Linked DNA regions of Drosophila melanogaster. The protein of the gene in region 1 interacts with the protein of each later gene in a pairwise test. Each region holds a gene or a part of one and is shown on either strand. Other genes may lie near its edges.

Region 1 (5,183 bases):
TTGAAAATGATCTTAGGCGATGGAGAATACCGTATTTAATTCAAATAAATGTTTTAAAGACTAATACAAATTTTATATTATCATATTATGATTTGATTAATTACATTATTATCCAAATAGATCAGCCTTGCTACTGTATGGTTTAGCAATAAAATCGATACAGCTTACCGATTTTTTGTTTAATAAATAACAATAATTAAACAACTAATTAATAGGCACTCCTTTCCAGACATTTCTTTAAAATAACTATGTAAAATCCCGCAAAATAATTATAAACAATTATATATATAATATAGCAAATACTATATGTACTATGGCATATAAAAAGCAGAGCACTCGCACTTTGGCAGTCAGATTTATTCGAAATCCCCAAGGAAAAACATGAAAGCTCTTCAAGTCGCCGGAACTTTGATGCTGCTTTTCTGCCTGCTGGCAGCTGTTAATGGTAATTATTTAATGAAATAATAAAATATATATATGATATTTTTAGCTAATCATTTCCTTATTGCAGCTACGCCGGGACAAGTGTATATCAATGGGAAATGCATTGACTGCAATAAGCCTGATAATGATCCGGGAATTATAATTCCTCCAGACCATAAATCAGCTGGATCCATGTCTTACACACTCACATCTGGAGCCATCTTCTTTGGAATTATATATCATATATTCAGTTAAATTACTATGTAATCAATAAGTTAATAAAATAATATCTTTTATTTCTCAAAAAAAAACCTTAAGCTTGTGACAAATTGCGAACTTAAATACAACCCTTATCACGTATAGATTTAGTCACATATTAAAACTGCTATTTAACAAATCCCAACTTTATGGGTATTTAAATTGCATTTAGATTATAGCAATTGCATATTAGATTAAAATCTGTAAATTTAATTTAATTCCCAGCTTTGTTTAAACCGCTAGGAAGCTTTAAATAATTTAGCTTTAATTTTTATATTTATTCATATTGATTTTGGAATTAGATTTCCTATTTGAGACAAATCTACAATAATCTATTATTATTTATATTCGATTGATTGATCGCTATCGCTTTATTTTGTTTTGCCATTGTTCTGAATGTACATCGCCTTATCAACATTTTTTTTTGTAGGGCATTTCCAGACTGGGCACAACTTTTGTGTGATTACAACAGCTGAGATACGTACTATCCGGGAAAAACCTGATATTTAAATTTCATCATAAAGGTGCCTATAAAAGAAAACCAATGAAGTGAATTTTTATCAGTTTCATTTCAACCGTTGCCAACAATATGAAGTGGATGTCCTTGGTCTTTCTATGCGGTCTGCTCGCCATGGCAGTGGGTGAGTATCTATAAGATTCATACATCCTTAACCAGTATCCTAATTATTTTTCTACTATTACTATAGCTTCTCCGTTAAATCCGGGTAATGTCATTATCAATGGAGATTGCCGTCATTGTAATGTTCGCGGAGGCTAAATTGGAGTTATAAAACTTTGATGTTTAGTAACTACAATAAAACTTATGAAAAATACAGATTGTGCATAAAGTGATGGTCTTTTTTATTTTATTAGTACGCAAACTATAATAGTTCGAACTTCATTTCTAACTGCAAAAGTTAATAATTATAATAATAAACAACATTTTGGTGTTTCAGTGACTTTAGTTTATTTCATATTCTGATTTCCACATTCTAATCGCCGCGTATATTGCAAACTTTGCAGTCGCCGTTTATAATCACATTGCCAGGACTCAGGGGATTGGCTAGAAATAAATAAATAAAAAAAAGATTTCAATTAGAAATAGGTTTTTATTATTTATACAGCACATCATTGGCACTTACCACTAGCCAAAGCCAAAAGTCCGAAGAGAAAAGTAATCGAGAGCAGCTTCATATTGTTTGTGATTTGACGATTCAGCGACTAAATTGCCTATCGATTCAAACAGGTCTCTTTTATAGCCGCGCAAATCGGTTTGATTAGCAAATTGCGCACTTTTTCAATTAAAATATGACCCCTGGAGTATATAAAAATGCGTCATAACTTGATTTGAACAGCCTATCCCCAGCGATTTAGTAGCTTTAAAGAGATCTTTGTCTGTGATTGGCAAACACACAAAGCAGTTATTAATTCCAGGGAAATTTCAAATCTAACTTATTCGATTCTAGCACTTTTGAAATATCTTATTTAATGCATATAAAAACAAAGAATGAAACAACTGAAAACGTAACGAATGACACTGCAGTTTACTAGCAAGAATTTAACTTCTTAAATTTTCGTTTTCTATGTGTGTATCTATGTGGTCGCCAAAGGTAAATGAACGTGTTTGTGGTCGAATTAACTTTGAAAAAGTTGCTGTAGGTGGGTATGTTTGATTCAGTTTATAAGTAACTTTGTTTGTGCACTAAAAGAAAAACCTTAAATTTCAAAAACGAAAAATTGTTATTGTGTTTTTATCAAAGGTATATACCATTATTTCTTTTTTATATATCATATTCTAACTTACACTGCTTACTAGTTAGTTAATAAATAATTAGACCGTTTTCTGTTTTTTTTTCAAAGAAAATATTTATTGCTTTTCATTGCAATAAACATTGTTTTTTTTCACAATGTACTTGTTTTTGCACATGGCTGGCAATTAAGCCAATGAAGCATTAAAAACCACCAGTCGAGTTCCATGCAAAATGAGTTTTTTGGCTGTTTCGTGGGGCTTAAGGCGATTGTCGGGGTTTTCGATGGGTGTGTGTGTGGGGGGGGGGATGGTGGGTGGTTTTGCAGCAGAAGAAAGGTGAGTGCAAATGGGGCGGAGAAAGGGTTTAGCGCAGTCAACCAGCATCCACTCACCCAGGATTAGTGCCGCATGCGCTAAACGCTGTTGTTGTTGTCGTTGTTGTTGTTCCACACACATTTGTCAACGTAGATGGCATTACGGATAAATGAACTCGAGCCAAATGAGCGTACACATGTACGTATACGTAATATGTGAAAATGTGCGCCTCTACAGACGGCCAACCGACACGTGCGCACGTTAACAATTTAATTACGCGCTGCGGGCAGCGGCAGCTGCCACATGTTCCTCGAAAAAAGAAAAAAAAAATGTTAATCATCGAGTCGAGTTGGTTCATTCAGGAATTAAAGCCAGCGCCCAGTTTTGCCTTTGTGGCACGTTTAAAGCCGGCCAAATGTTTCAGCCAAAGGCCTTGGAGTGGTGTTTAAGTGCGGCAAGTCGCAGGTCTCAAGTGCTCATGTTCATGCTCCATAAATTCAAATGGAACAGAAATTGAAAAGCCGTTGGAATATTCAATGGAAGGAAAGGGAAGCATGGAAGGGAGGTCGTACTTTGCTAGCATAGAAAGTAAGACAGGCTTGGATAGGAAATAACATAATTTAAAATAAATAAAACATTAAATGGTCTCTTTATTTACTTACTATTTACATACATAAACATCTTCTGTGCTTTTATATTTAAATGATACAGTGATCTACTTAGGACATGGTTAATACAGACCAAGAGGTATAAGTTGTATGGGTTCCAAGCCCATTAGCAGCTTCCTTTATAAGCAAGTACGCCTGCACTTCTTTATAATAATAATAAAAAAACTAACATATTTCATTGGGCGTGGCACTTCCAATGGGCTGGGCTGGGCGTTAGAAAGTAACAACTAGAAAGTAGAAAGCAGTGCTTCCGAACATGTGTACATTTTGTTAGTTGATTGCCTGAGCGTCCGTGCTTGTGGTTACATTCTGTTGATTCCTGTTGGCTTTTCCCCACCGTTGGCTTCGTTTATTGTCCTTTTTTTTTGTGCTGCGGTTAGTTTTATGGCTCTCACCATTTGGCTTTATGATGCAACCAACTGTGGCCTTTTGCATAAACTTGAAATTCATTTCGCTTACCCTCAGTCAGTGCGCTCCATGTTTGCCCAGGTGAAAGCCACAACCAATAGTTTAATTAGAAAACACAGTGCTGTTGTTTACTTAACTACAAATTCGATACAATTTCTCGATTTTAATTTGATTTCAAATAACCCTTTATGATACTTAAGTGATATTTTGTTATGTTCAAAACGAATGAAGCCATATCTCGTTGTCACAAAGTAAATTATCCAAGGGACTGACAAACAAGCAATTGAACCTGGTTTTCCCAAAAAAAAAAAAATTTTCAAAGCAAAAGCAGCAACTTACCACTGATCCCATCCCCTGACAGTTGACCCTTCCATTTCCATCAAATGACATGGCAGTCAACACATTTAGCCCCTGCCGTCACGTGAGCAAAATTGCTAATCAACTGGGGGATGAAGGACATGGACTTGGACATGGACATGGACATGGCCATCCATGTATGAGTGGTGGTCGTGGTGGTGGTGACCCCCAGTTATTGTGGCCCGCTCCTGGGGAGTGACGACAACTCATCATTCCGTCGTTGAAGTCGAGGGCTTTAATGTGCTTAAGCGTTACGAGCATGAACAAACATTATTGTCCTGTGGGAATCGATAAATTGGTGCTGAGTGCAGGGTCTTCGGATTGGCATTGAAGTTGTGGAAGTGACACTTTGATAACCCAAACCACTCATTCCGACCACCCACTTTTTACTTTGAGAGATACTAATGTGTGAGTGAGTGGGTGTTTGGTGGATGTTTGTTTGCCAGTTTGTGGCAAATGTGTGGATGGATAATGGAGGGTGGTTAAGTAGCTCTGTCCAAATGAAATTCGAAATCTTTCATTCCAAATAATTGTACAGATGCATATCTGTGGTTTAAAAGGGTTATGTTCTATGTATCTTTGAAATTTATTGAATTCTTTTTAGCTAGAAATATTTAATTAGGTTGCACAACTCAAAAGTATGCAATGAAATTAGGTTCATTTACATTAAATTTTTCATATAATAATCTATAATTTTTACCAATAAAAGCACCGTCTTATCAGCGCTTCTTTCGTTTGATGTTCATCAAAACAAAGCGTCGTCCCAGATTAGTTGTGAATCTAACTTGAAGCTAAGCGTTACTACCGTGCATGATGTGGATTCAAAAGAACCCATTTTTAGGGTTATTGCTCTGCAGTTTTTTGGCATTTTTCCAGAGTACATATGCAGAGGTTGGAAAACTGGTGTGCTTCTACGATGCGCAGAGTTTTGTGCGTGAAGGTGAGTTTTGTCAGATTTTAATCAACCAAGTGGATCAGGGGTTATCTTCATCTCAGGCCCCGCC
Region 2 (8,475 bases), on another chromosome or scaffold:
CGCTCTGTTCTGATGACAGCCAAGGCACTGGGTGTGGAGTTCGATAAGAAGACCATTATCAACACCCGAGCTAGGGAGCAATTCACGCCGGAATACCTGAAAATCAATCCGCAGCACACGATCCCCACGCTGCACGACCATGGATTTGCTTTGTGGGAGTCGCGGGCGATTATGGTTTATCTGGTGGAGAAGTACGGCAAGGACGACAAGCTCTTCCCCAAGGATGTGCAAAAGCAGGCGTTGATCAATCAGCGCCTGTACTTCGACATGGGTACGCTGTATAAGAGCTTCTCCGAGTACTATTATCCGCAGATTTTCCTAAAGAAGCCCGCCAATGAGGAGAACTACAAGAAGATCGAAGTGGCCTTCGAATTCCTAAACACATTCCTGGAGGGGCAGACCTACAGCGCTGGAGGGGATTATAGCTTGGCGGATATTGCCTTTCTGGCCACCGTTTCCACTTTCGATGTGGCTGGCTTCGATTTCAAGCGGTATGCCAATGTGGCACGTTGGTACGAGAATGCCAAGAAACTGACTCCCGGTTGGGAGGAAAACTGGGCTGGTTGCCAGGAGTTCCGCAAATACTTCGATAACTGAATATATGAACCCGAAATACTGATAAAACACCTATTATTCGGTTATCAAGAAAAAACTATATATTTAAAGATTAAGACTGGGCTGGATTTCGATAGACATTTCAATAGTTAAATAAAAAAAATTCACTTTTAAAGTTTAATCCGTTTTTTGAAATACAAATTTAATATCATAAAATTGTAAACATCTAGAAAGGACGCAAACGTCAGCATCCCAAACACTTCGTATTATGTTTACTCAAAAGTCTATTTCCAAAACACAAGTTTTTGATTTGAAGCCACTTGAAGAATATTAGTATACCCAAAGGTTTTGATATAGTAAGTCAAGGCCATGGAGTACAATCGCCAGCCGTGTCCCATTAGGATTGTGGAGGATTGCGGATGTGCCTTCATGATGGGCACCATCGGTGGTTCGCTGTTCGAGTTCCTCAAGGGTTTCCGTAACGCTCCTACCGGATTGCAGCGCAGACTTTATGGTGGCATTGATTTGGTGAAGATGAGAACGCCGTCCATTGCCGGCAGCTTTGCCGTTTGGGGTGCCACTTTCAGCACAGTGGATTGCGCCCTGGTCCACTATCGCCAGAGGGAGGATGCCTGGAACTCGATACTCAGTGGAGCGGCCACTGGTGGGATATTGGCAGCCCGTAATGGCATTCGGGCCATGGCCAACAGTGCTCTGGTGGGCTGTCTGGTGCTGGCCATGATTGAAGGAGCCGGTGCAGCAGTGGCCACCATTAATGCAGCCGACAAAGGTGCAGGGATAGTCATCAAGCCGCAGCGGGCCCAGTGGGAGGCCATACTGGAGACTATTGATCCGAAGAGAGCGTCATCCACTCAAGATTTCGCACTGGCGGAGTTTGAACGGGTGCTGGACAAATGTCGGGCGAGCAGGGAACCAAATTTACTTCAGGACATTCCGGTTAAGAGTCACGAGCGAGATTCCAAACAGAAGCCATTTTATTCCCTCTTGGATCTGGTGAAACTGTCCCAGATGTTCTAGTGTTGCCCAAAAAAAAAGGGTTTTCATTTTCATTCAATCTTTCGTTCTCAACAATCACTCATCAAAATTGTGTGCATGTACTAGTTTTCACCGTTCATTTCATGATCGTAATATACAAAACGCATAAGATACTAAAGCTTATCTACTATCAAAATCATAGCATACTTCTTGGCGTCAGAATTTCAAGTTCGAAACACTTTATTTTGTGGCTTTATTTTTTTAAAGGTTGAATAAAACAATGTATGTATGTATTTCCCAATCTATAGATATCCCAGAAAAATCCCACTACTTGAGTAACGGATATCTGGTAGTCGGGAAACTCGACTGTAGCATTTTCTCTTGTGTTATACTTCAAATGGCTCAGCTTGAAACAGAACTTTTTTTTGGTTTTTATAATTCAAATTTGTACAATTATTTCATCGTATGGAAAACAAAACTCGGAACAGATTTATATTCATATCTGCAGCGCTGAACAATATCATACAATTTGAAAGAGGGTTCTTAGGATCTGTAGATTTAATAAAAAGCATTTATTAATATCTAACCTCTACCCTGGAAAAGAGGTATTTATGATTCTATCATAATATCCTTAAATAAATCAATTTAAACGTTCAATGCTATATCAAATTAACAAAAAAATAAATAATGCCGTTGTCCACTTATCAAAATCGTTTCGAATCTTTTATTATAATTAAAGAAAATCATAAATTAATACAAAATTAAGAATTAAACTAGTTGATGAGACAGAACAGAGCGCAGAGAATTGGAAGGTGGTTACCAGGATAGGGTTCATAAGTAAGTATATCATGCAGCAATTTGGCCAGAAAACTTTGCATTCAAAGACAATCGGAGATTAGACATATAGTTGACATCGATCATCGTTCCCGCTGCCGATTTGGGAAATATCATTTTTGGTTTTACTTGGAGAGTGTCGCTGGTCCTTCCGCCAGCCCACATTCGCATTCGGATTCTGATCCTGATCGCGATCCTCTTAGATGCGCAGATTGGGGTTCGTGTAGCGCACATACTTCAGCAGAGCATCGTTCTCCTCGCAGACGAAGCTCTTCTTGTGATGGCATGCCACATCGTGCCAGTTTACGCCATCGTTGTAGAACTGATTCAGCAGGGCGAGACAATTCTCCGGCGCTCCATTCTGCTTGTACTCGCGGTTGTCCGGCTGGGGCAGGCCAATGCCTCCGGTGGGCGACCAATCGCCCTGGTTCCTCTCAGTGGTTGGTGCCAGTTTCTGCAGTGTGGCGGTCCAGAACCAACCGTTGATGTTTGTGGGCTGCAGATCGGGGCGGTCACAGCCCTTGAAGTCACACAAGCGGCCGCTGGTCCAGATGTATTTCACCTGCAACGTGAGAGTAGTGTTCTCATTAATGTACTGAAACCAGGACAAAATTCAAATATCCATCCAAGGAAACTGAATCAATGAAATAGTATCAATAGTTCATTGCCCCTTGCAGATACTGAAATAGAAATAGAAATTTCCCCCATCAATCCCCCACCTACGCAAGAAAATGCAGGGCTGGCATCGACGAACAAAATAGTGGTAGAAATTCCAGTTAGCAACTCTTTTGGGCCTGTCACGCCCAAACAACCATTTTTATCGCTGAAAGCGAACCCATATACCCATACCCATTCCCATTCCGAATCCGAGTCCGCGCCCTTTTGGAGCTGGCGCACCCGATACTGTCAACATTTCAAGTGAGCAGAAGCAAAAGCAAAAGCCGCTGCGCAGCCGCAGTTAAGCGATCATCAGTCACTTTCACCTGATGGGCCATAAAAATTGTTTTGTTAAGGGGGCAGCACACAAAAAAAAAAAAAAAAAAAAAACAAAGAGACCCAGACGACTCGATGTGGATGTCTGCCCTTTTGGAAAACTCCAATGAGCGTAAAGCTGAAATAGATTTATGGACATTGATTTCGGTTTTGTCGCTGGCGGTTTTAGCGTTTCATTTAAGGGGTCCAGATTGCAATGTAATTGTTTAAAACTCAGACAATGAATGCATTTTACCCGTTGCGGAAACCTAAATGAGTGATGTTTATACACCTGTCCTACTAATAGTTAAATAAAAGTCTTGCAGAGAAGTCGGTGGTGGGAGATGCAACTTAGCAGGAAGCGGAAAATTTTAATGGAAAGTACTGCGTTTCCATTGGACATCTAAAAAAAGATTTGTTGTCTTATATGTTGGTTGATATGTGGTTAATATATTAATATTCGATGATCATGAGTTACTTTCCATCTTCGACTTTTTATCGCCTATGGTTTGCATTCAATTTCCTTTTGGATCTTATACGCAAAATGTAAAACAAATGAATTCGGTTGCGTGTTCGCAGCTTGCTAATTTTGCTAAGTAATTTTGTTGATCAGCTTTTCCGGCCAGGCTTTCCCATCGCACACATGTACTTTCGATTTTAATTCGACCGCCAGTGCCTTCCCATGCCGCAAAACCGGAGATGGGATGTGGGCAATGAGTCGGAAGATGGCAGATGAGATGGGATGAGATGAGCCCGGCTGACCACAACTCCAAACTTGACACTTGTTCATCCGAAGAGCGTTGCATAATATCAGACGATTCCATTCGTGTGCAAAATTACAGAGGCAACAACTGGGAAAGTTTTTCTGTATTTATGATGCGTATTTTGCCTTTCCGTTCAGTTTTTATGCGCAATTTCACATTGAACTTTGTGGAGCGATGTTAGTGTCAGGGATTTCGCAATTATTTTTATTGTGTGCCCCCCCAGCATCCTCGGAATTAAGGTCAGCGTTTTGTTGTGTCTTGTCTGAGCTGCCAAATAAAACGCGCTAAACAGTTCACACGCGGCTAAACTGACGTTATTTAACTTGCCAAACAAATTAAGAAAGGTGACATAATGTCATGCAAAACAGGTGAGAAAACAACGGAAACAAAATCTAATAGATGCAGGTACAATAAATTATTGGCAAGCTTTTTCGACTTTAAGGTGTAAAAGTCCACATTGATGCGGTCCATTTATTAGTGTTTGATTTTGCATTTATAATAGCCTTTCGCCGGAAAAAAAAACATATACATAGTGAATGAGTTGCACATTTCAATGGTATTTTCGGTCATTTGTTTGATCTATCAATGCTTAAATGTTTAACAAACAGGTGCATTGAAGTTCAGATCAATTTATTAGTTTGGACATGGTTCCAATATCATAAGTGGGACTTACGTAAGGTTTAATTTATTGACTTGGGACAATCCATTTATAGACTCAACATTTTCGGAGTAAATATTTATGAAAGTTGAGATAAAAGATTAGCTTTGCGTGTGCGCATTTGTGTGCTATTCATGACAACACCTATACTTGAGTTCGTTTCCTAAGTCTTTCGATTTCTCTTATCATTTCTTGCCTTAATTTATTTTCATCGTTATAGCCCCTGAAATTTGTACTTACATTCTCGCGCACAACATACTGCTTGATCCACTCGTTCTCCAAACTGGTCTCCAGGGAAACGGAGTCCATGCAGCGCCTGCGGCAGTAGTTCCTGGCGGTCAGCCAGTCCTCCTCCACGCCCTTCAGCTGAGGGTCGCGCCACGAGAAGAAGTAACTGCGGGGAGAGAAGCAAACCCTATAGTTTATGTTTTGGTGAGCATATCCTGCTGACTCACCCCTTGCCATCGGGAGTCTTCTCGTGAATGACACGCTGGGCACAGAGCTGCGGATTCGGCGGCTCCAGACGTCCGTTCTGGAACTGAGCGGATCCCAGGCTCAGCACGCTCAACACGCACACTCCGGCGATAATGAAAGCTTTCATTTTTGTTTGCTTTATCAGTCTATTCACTGGCACTTTCTGCGGGCTCGATTTTCTTTTTTGGACTCGCGACGCACTTCTCTCTACCGACCGATCGGCTGGCACTGATCAACTGGAATGTCAAAAGCATTGGGGAACCCCGCCTTATATACGAACCGAGAGTCGCATCGATCCATCCACTCAATTCGATGAGAGCGCCGTACCCCAAAAAGAGAGAATGAGTGGTGGGGCTTTTTTTTTGGTTTGGCGGCAGTACTACACTCGAAAATGTTTATTCCATGAAGTCCTACTGTTGAACACTTCTTTTTTCTTTATAAAAACCATATACTTTCTTTTAATTTAACTTTTTATTTTCAGGATTTTTAGTGTGAGAAACATTGTAACAATCAACGGAGCTGATTGTATGCAAGTCGAAATTTGAATACCCTGTACTACAGAGGCAATAAATTTAGAGATTGATTCATTTTGAAAAATTCCTTTTAAATGTTTTGAATAGATTGGAAAATGGTTAGGCCAGAAGTATTTTAAGCTAAAAACTTAAATGTTAAGATTAGTAGATTAGTAGAATTCTAGCGACTTGCTAGAATTTTTGATTTAAGTAGATACTCGTGAATTTGCACCTATGTATGTATATATTTTAAGAGCAATCTGTAACCCATTTATAAATTGGAGCACGGGGAGAATGGCCTAATCTTCAGTGGCTGTTTAACCAGCAACCGTGAATGATAAGTGGCCAAAGTGGTGCAAAAAAAGGGGAGGGGGGGACGATCGGTGGGCGATGGGTGGCGTTTCTTTGGCTTGCGCATCATTTTGCACCACTTCGCTTTGAATGGCCGTTGAATGGATTGGGCTAACTCCCATCTAATTAGCTTCACAAACACGACACCACTTGAGCCAAAATCGTTTTTGGCACGGAAATTTCGAACTTTTTTTGTGTGCTGCGTCTCCTGTCTCTTTGCATAAATAAATGCATTTTACGCTATTGTTTGCTTCGTCTCAGAAATGTATGTATTTGCCAGTGCTTTTGTCGCTTTGCTCATTGCATAATCTCAACTGATGTGTTGACCAACAATTTATGTCGATTGAAATCGACATAATTGAAATGTAAAGGTCACTTATTAATCAATAAGTTCTGTGGCTACATTAAATACGCACCTATATAACAACTAATCGTACTTATAATTTTAAATGAGCTGCCAAACGTTACATAATGCCGGCCATAAATAGCCAGAAGATATACCCAAACACACTTGCCATTGCATAAGCATAAGAAATGATGCCCATCTACATTATTTTCTCCACAGCTTGGGACCCAGATCAAGGTCAGCCCCGATGAGTACGAAAATTTCACCAGTTGAAAGTGAAGAGTAAGCCGAGCAAACCCGAAAACCCAAAAACCCAAAACCCAAGCTCAATTCACGCATTTCAACATGATCGCCTCGATAAGTTTTGTCTCCTCCGCGCGTTATTTTCTTTATTTTTACATCTTCAACTCACGTGCAGTTGAGCATGTCGACCGAACACAGCCGAAACCAAAAAATGGCGGTTTTTGAAAAAGCAAAGGTATCTGTTAAATCGCACTTTATGGCAATCGGTAAAACGGCAAAAGTTACACGAAGGCAGGTGCCGCTCATTACCTGACACATGTATCTCGTTGGACACTTTGGGCGGATTATGCTGGATGCTGCTGGGCCAGCCGCGCCCATTTCTCAGAAATTTCTATAATATTTAGCAAAATATTTGTATCGATTATTATTAAACTATGCCACAGAGGTGGGTGTTAAGTAAAATTATTTCAATATATTGTACACAGAGTTTGGAAAAATCCCAATTGCTAGCATTGAAAAAATTCCACATATTAAATTTCAAATTTCAAATGACCGGCGTGCAATGCTGAACGACAAAGAGCAATAAAAATTATAATAAATTAGGCAACCCATTTACATGGTCAACACGTGTATTTGCTTAAGCCATGTCTTTCGGGCAAGCATAATTTATTTAATTTGTGTGAGCTACTCGGCGTTACATGAATTCCCGTGGGCACTCTCAAGCCCAAAATGATCATCATCATTTAGCGATAATATTTTTGGGTAATAATCATGTGATAAGGAACCGGGAAACTGGGCCCAACTGTCAAGAGACGCGCAGCCAGCCTATTACCGCATTGCATGCCCTCATATTTACGCAATGAGTTCCCAGACGGTATCGGAATGGGGATCGGGATCGGGAGAGGGAGAGGGAGAAGGGGCTGACTTATGGGCTATGCGGCTGGGACCGATGAGATGAGGCTGGGGAATGGGCCTGGCCAATTTGTCGATGAGTTGGGTAAATATTAAAGGAGAAAGTGCCGCCGTCAGTTGGACCAAAAGTTTTGTACTCTCCTTGTACATATTTCTGTTTTCGGTTTTCTGTTTTTGAAAAATATTTTTGCACAGGTTACATATTGTTGAATTATTTGCACAAAAAGAGAGTGAGGTCAGGTGCAGTCGTCCCAATTTCATCGAGTGTCGATAATTTATGCAAATATGTTCACTAATAGTTATGCAAACGGAAATCTAACCGTGTTTACCACCCATTTTGGATTTCCCTTCGAGTGGCCCCCTCAATGTCAGTTTTTGACTGACCAAAATTTATAAAATGCTAAATTATTCGGCTTAGCAACGTCAATTACTCACGTTATTTAATATTTATGTCAGCTGCATATGACAATAAAAGCATTTTATAATTAAAGTTTGCTTTATGCTCCAGCCGTGATTTGATTACAAATATTGGCAATCCACTGAATCAAAGTCAACACCATTTGATATTGGCTCCGTGTCAATTTCGCAAACACGCCCAAGATCTAAAAGTCAACCGATTGACCCAGAGACCTCGTTTTCAGGGAAGTACCCAAAAACAGGAAGCTCTTCGACCGTGAGTTTCCGGCTATCATTCTAAAACAATATTTGTAATGGAACTAAACTGTTTAGTTACGGAATTCGAGGGGTCAAGCCACATATATACATAAGATATTGACACAATATAGAGAATCTTAATATTTTATTCTTTCAAAATGTGCCATCACATTTTCCTCACATATTTCGATTTGAAGGCCAAAG

What was found. Proteins that work in one complex are often made in the same cells at the same time.
Region 2: the proteins of BomS6 (region 1) and CG4115 interact in a two-hybrid assay, tested with the Drosophila melanogaster proteins (one large-scale study listed by BioGRID).

What each region holds. Positions count from the first base shown.
Region 1 is NT_033778.4:18,388,719-18,393,901, forward strand, and holds BomS6 (bomanin short 6), read right to left. Parts: upstream 1,912-5,183; 5' UTR 1,876-1,911; coding exon 1,824-1,875; intron 1,745-1,823; coding exon 1,674-1,744; 3' UTR 1,635-1,673; downstream 1-1,634. Other genes in the region: BomT2 (bomanin tailed 2), read left to right, coding at 382-445, 512-678; BomS5 (bomanin short 5), read left to right, coding at 1,271-1,322, 1,389-1,459; Idgf5 (imaginal disc growth factor 5), read left to right, coding at 4,990-5,119, 5,176-5,183.
Region 2 is NT_033777.3:12,357,035-12,365,509, reverse strand, and holds CG4115 (uncharacterized protein), read right to left. Parts: upstream 5,503-8,475; 5' UTR 5,381-5,502; coding exon 5,235-5,380; intron 5,174-5,234; coding exon 5,020-5,173; intron 2,948-5,019; coding exon 2,585-2,947; 3' UTR 2,255-2,584; downstream 1-2,254. Other genes in the region: GstD10 (glutathione S transferase D10), read left to right, coding at 1-597; Tim17a1, read left to right, coding at 925-1,593.